Linked DNA regions of Tribolium castaneum. The protein of the gene in region 1 purifies or fractionates together with the protein of each later gene. This does not show direct contact. Links are inferred from orthologs where the notes say so. Each region holds a gene or a part of one and is shown in the gene's direction. Other genes may lie near its edges. The genes, in order: cytochrome c oxidase subunit 5A, mitochondrial; Ccdc56.

Evidence for each region.
Region 2: the proteins of cytochrome c oxidase subunit 5A, mitochondrial (region 1) and Ccdc56 purify together in Homo sapiens (affinity purification with western blotting; 3 studies listed by BioGRID and IntAct, with this or other methods). This does not show direct contact. The link is inferred for Tribolium castaneum from reciprocal best matches to the Homo sapiens genes COX5A and COA3.

Annotation. Positions count from the first base shown.
Region 1 is NC_087403.1:1,167,949-1,170,941, reverse strand, and holds cytochrome c oxidase subunit 5A, mitochondrial, read left to right. Parts: upstream 1-1,467; 5' UTR 1,468-1,562; coding exon 1,563-1,696; intron 1,697-1,783; coding exon 1,784-2,108; 3' UTR 2,109-2,173; downstream 2,174-2,993. Other genes in the region: Nrg (neuroglian), read right to left, coding at 403-434. UniProt on the Homo sapiens protein: Component of the cytochrome c oxidase, the last enzyme in the mitochondrial electron transport chain which drives oxidative phosphorylation.
Region 2 is NC_087394.1:32,882,509-32,884,956, forward strand, and holds Ccdc56 (cytochrome c oxidase assembly factor 3, mitochondrial), read left to right. Parts: upstream 1-1,661; coding exon 1,662-1,922; downstream 1,923-2,448. Other genes in the region: mtTFB1 (dimethyladenosine transferase 1, mitochondrial), read left to right, coding at 1,925-2,448. UniProt on the Homo sapiens protein: Core component of the MITRAC (mitochondrial translation regulation assembly intermediate of cytochrome c oxidase complex) complex, that regulates cytochrome c oxidase assembly.

The DNA of each region.
Region 1 (2,993 bases):
CAAGTGGTTTGATTACGTCACTAGTAATTTGATTGATTAATAAGTGCGTCCGTTCTTCCTTTGGATAAATTTGTAAATTTTCATTCAAATTAGAGAGGAAGGGATGCGAGTGGAATCATCAAAGCTGAGTGAGTCATTTCGAGAGTAAAGCAAATAATTCTTCTAAATATAAGGTTTCAGAAACCCCTTGAGCACGGAGGGTGCGAACTGTGTAAACACAGTCTTGTGTCAAATGACAAGGAAATTTGACAATAATTACATGTGGGATGGATTTAACGCGTCGTCCGCGACTCAAATCATGAGTATGACATGAATATAAATTACGAATGCAATTACTTGAGTATTTGAGCTATTTATATCCATTGATTAAATTTAAGAATAGGTTACCCGAATTGGACTTACGATAAACAGACTTCAATAACATGTCGAAGCATTTGAAATAAGGATGACTTCATTTACATTTCGGAAATGACAAATTGTGGAAATGTCAAAAAACCACCGGCAACTTGATCTTGCGAAAGAATTATTTTCAGATTAGGTTAACTAAATTTAGATATTACACAATGGTTCGGGGGATATTACCCCCAAAATCAATCGAAAGTGACTCATTATTAGCGATATTCGGGAGGAAAACAATGCATTCCAAGTCGTTGAATGTTGATCGTTTTCTCACTTTTGACATAAATTAAAGCTCGACGTATCGAAGGTGCAACTTGGTGTTTTGTTTTTGCACAGGTCGTTATCTCTGTTATCTCGATAACAGCCTATTATCTAGGCTCATTACAGACACAGAAAAACTTACCAGATTATTTCAAAATCTATGTTATTTGTCCATGATAACGATTTATCACTACACTACAAACACACAACAGAGATAGGTGCGGTCTAGGCGGTCGTCACACTCACTAACCAAATCACTTATTTTCACTATCACTGGTTCAGATCTGCGAGTTTCACCGGATTTTCAGTCACCTAATCATATGGCAAAAATGTCTAAACGAAGGATTTGACTGTCCATTATACTTCAACGAAAATGATTCATTTTTATTTCATTTTGGACGAAAACCTTTCGTGTTGGTAGGCGTGGTGTTTAACGGCGCCATCTAGCGCACATCAGCTGCACCGAGACCCCAGTGAACCCAAATTGAAGAAATTCCTTCTCCATTACGTCATTATTTATTAATACAAATTATTTTAAGTTCGAAAAGATGATGCAGTTGCTTCTTGCAAAATAGATATTTTTATAAACGTGACTTCAATGTCACATCACTATTAGCACATTGCATCCTTCTTAACACATTTTTCCTTGTTGTTGTTTAATTTCCAATGATTCAATGAGCATAAAATAGCATGATAAGCTTCCGTTTCTATTTTTAAACTCGCATTGTTTAAAAAATCACGTACTCTGGATGTATCGAAAGGGCGCGAGTTTTGAAATTAGTTCAAACGCATTTACGTAACGCGTTTGCGCGTTTAAAAGCCCCGTAGTTCACTTTATTGGCACTTGTCACACCGAGTGTTCATCGCCATCGTGAGGTTTTGTTGTAATTTTGCCAAAAAACATGTTCCGTACAACAGCCCTCCGCTTAACCTCCCTCGTGAGAGGGGCTGTGCAAGTCTCAAAGCCCTCTGTGGCCACAACAACACGGTTCATGTCCGCTCACAGCACAGAGACAGACGAACAGTTCGATACGAGGTAAATTACGTAATTTGCGATTTTTGTTTGTATAACGTGTGAAGCACCCTTAAAAAATAACTAACTTGTGTAATTGTTGTATTGTAGGTACGAGAACTTCTTCAACAGGAAGGACATTGATGGGTGGGAAATCAGGCAAGGGATTAATGATCTTTGTGGGCATGATTTGGTCCCCGAACCTAAAATCCTGATTGCGGCTTTGAAGGCTTGCCGCAGGGTTAATGACTATGCTCTTGCCGTGAGGATTGTTGAAGCTGTGAAAGATAAATGTGGAGGGAAAGTCAACGAGATCTACCCCTACATCATCCAGGAAATCAGGCCCACTCTCTCTGAACTTGGAATTGATACGCCTGAGGAGTTGGGCTATGACAAGCCAGAATTGGCCCTGGAGTCAGTCTATGACATTCACTAGATGTCTGCTTAGTTAGTCAATGTATCGTGTTATTAATTAAATAATAAAACAGTATATAAGTTAAATCTCGTAATTTTCTCCTGGAAATGATGATTCCGTTACATAAGGCATTTTCAAATATCCAAAGAACGTTAAAATCACTAAAAAATACAAATCAGATAGTTGTCTATTGCGTTCGTTACGTTGGTAATCATCCAGCCTGCCATGTTTTGTGGTTCTGTCAAACTATTCACAGGTGCAATCGATTTATTTATGGTTATATATTTGGCAAAAGCCTCAGGTAAATGCACATCTTATTTTATTAATGTCAATTTAGTCGAATATTTTGAGCGCGATGTTAGTAACTTTAATTTCATCGGAAGAGAAACCGAATTAGTCGATGACGTCAAATGCTAACACTCGATTGGCTGGTTGTTTGTCGACTTAATCCGATCAAATACGAACCTCAACGGTGCCTTGCTGATGGTTGTAGGAATGAAAACGCGTGAAGTACATAATTCATAGCTTTATTTGGTTTTACAGAATTCTAGTAAAATTTACAACTGAAATTAATGATCAGGCCAAGATCATTAAAATTTCGTTACAGTGCGTAGAACCAAAGGCATTTTTATAAGTAACATAAGGCCAGTTGGTAGGTGTAATGTACAATTTTTTAGAAAATTTTATGGACAAACATCTGCCTCTTGTGCCAGCACATTAAATATAAACAAAAACAGAAGAAAGATATCTTCAAAACCGTGTAACTGGGAGTGATAACAGGAAGATATCTTTAGTGTATGTGATGTTTATATGGTGCTACAATTCGTTACCACTACAGGTAGTTGGCCATATAGATCTAAATTCTAATATACATGCATACCATAAAAATAACATTTAAAAGTTAAC
Region 2 (2,448 bases), on another chromosome or scaffold:
GCACTGCACATTTTTAAATCGGGAATCGAAGTACATGACGTAATAGTGCTTCAAAAGTTACGTGTGCATGCAAAATTTCAAGTTAATACGATAACAGGAAGAGCCCCATGGAGTGCGAGAAAATTTTAGTTGAAGTGAAACAATTTTGTAAAATTTTAAAAATGGATTTCGTATCAGGATCACAGGAACGCAAAAGGGTAATGAGAAAAAATATATAATTCAAAATACACGCATGTGTATAACTGGTTGCATGCAAGCGGCGCTAAAAATTTCGTGACCTCTTTGCGTTCCTATGATCCTGATACGAAATCCATTTTTAAAATTTTGCTGAATTTCACCTAAATTTTCTTTCACTTACCAAAATTTTAGGTGAAATGAAACAATTTTGCATAATTTTAAAAATGAATTTCGTATCAGAATCACAGGAACGCGAAGAGATCTTGAACTTTTTTACTTCTTTGTGTTTCTGTGATCCTGATACGAAATCCATTTCTAAAATTTCGCAAAACTTGAAAATAATGCTCGGACCAGGATTACAGGAACGCAAAGGGGTCTTTGACTTTTTTCCTGATACGAATCTTTTTTCTAAAAAGTTAGAGAAATTGGGAAAGTTATAAAACAAAATTCGAAATTTTAACATATTTATTGAAACATTCAACTGAAACAAAAAACATAGATTCTTCAATCCCATTCTTCCAACTTTTCTGACCGGTTTCGCCCTTCTTGGGGCCCATCAGTGCAGCGCAGTCCTGTGAATGGAATGATCCCTATTATTTTTATAAAAAGGATATTTGTAGAAGTCACATCACTCATCGGACAACCGCAGACTGGTTTTACTCCATTTTTTAAGTTGAATTAAAGAAGTATTGGGATTTAAAAAAAAATATTTAATTTTTTTTAATAAAATGCGATTTTTCGTTCTTGTTGGAGATGAGAAGAGCAGAAAAAATCCTTCGGGATTGTAGGATTCCAAAAGAGCAGAACCACCCTTCTGTCTCCACCAAGAACGAAAATATTTCGTGTTTTCTATGTTGCATTCTGTTAAATTTTAATTCGAGTTTTATATTTCCAATTTTTTATTTTAAAATTTTGGGTGCCATCTTACCATCAGGTGTCCAAACATTACTTTACAGGAACCTAGAAAAAGATCTGTGTGTTGTACTCTGAAACAGTAGTTTACAGTAATCTGTAAATTAATATTTTTTATACACTAAAAATTCGGAAAAAAAAATCGGCATTGTGGGGCTACATGTAAATGAATTTGTAACTTATTTTGGTGCTGTGTAAACCGATTCCGAGTAAAATATTCTAAATTTGGATTTTTCTATAACCGAAAAATGTTCGCAATAGTAGTTTTCTTCCAAACTTGTAGGGTATGCTCTTAGGGCCTTGTTTTCCACAGCTGTACACTAAAAACATTAAAAAATGCATCATTTTATGCTTTTTCCAATATTTACCAAATAAACAATTCGCCCGAATTGCATTTGACGCCGAGTCTCGTTCGTCCGAAAACAGTTAAGAGCGAAAAATGTTTAGTGTTGGTAGCTCTGATACTGTGCCATTGACGTGACATTAACCACAGACCAAAAAAGACATTAATTAACTTTCGAGGTTATGTCCGCACTTTTTTGCACAAATCCCCAAAACAGTTAATATTTACGATGTCAGAGAGTGATCGCATGCCCAAAATTGACCGCACCAAACTGAAACAAACCGATATCGACTTCATAAAATTCGTGGAAAAGCAGAATTTGGACCGTGTCCGAAAACTGCAAACCCTTCGCCGCAAAAACCTGATCACTGTTAGCCTCCTTGGAACTGCAGTCTTGGGCATTTACGGCTATTCCATTTGGGCAGTGCGACAAGAAAACTTCCTCGACGATTTTGAAATCCCAACCACTGTAACAGAATCAGCAAAGTAGTAATGGCAGCGGCCAATCTTAGGTTACCCCCCTTGCCCACAGTGAGGGACTTAATTAAGTTGTATAAGTTAAGGGCGTTACGTCAGCTATCGCAAAACTTTCTTTTGGACGAAAGAATCACCGACAAAATCGTTAAAGCGGCTGGAAATATTCGGAATCATTATGTTTGTGAAGTGGGCCCTGGGCCCGGCAGTATAACCCGGTCCATCATCAGGAAGTGCCCCAAGAAGCTCATCGTGGTGGAAAAGGACCCCCGATTTGTGCCCATCTTGGAGTTGCTTCAAGAAGCGAGTCAGAGTCACGTCAAAATGGGGATTAAAATTCAGGATATCCGGGATTTTAATTTCGAGGAGGGTTTTGCGGGCGCTCCTGCACGCGAGTGGACGGACTACCCGCCCCCCATTCACCTCATTGGCAATCTGCCCTTCAGCGTTTCAACGAATTTGATTATCCGGTGGTTACATGCGATTTCGGAGCAAAGGTCGGCTTGGAGTTTTGGGCGCTCTACCATGACCTTGACGTTCCA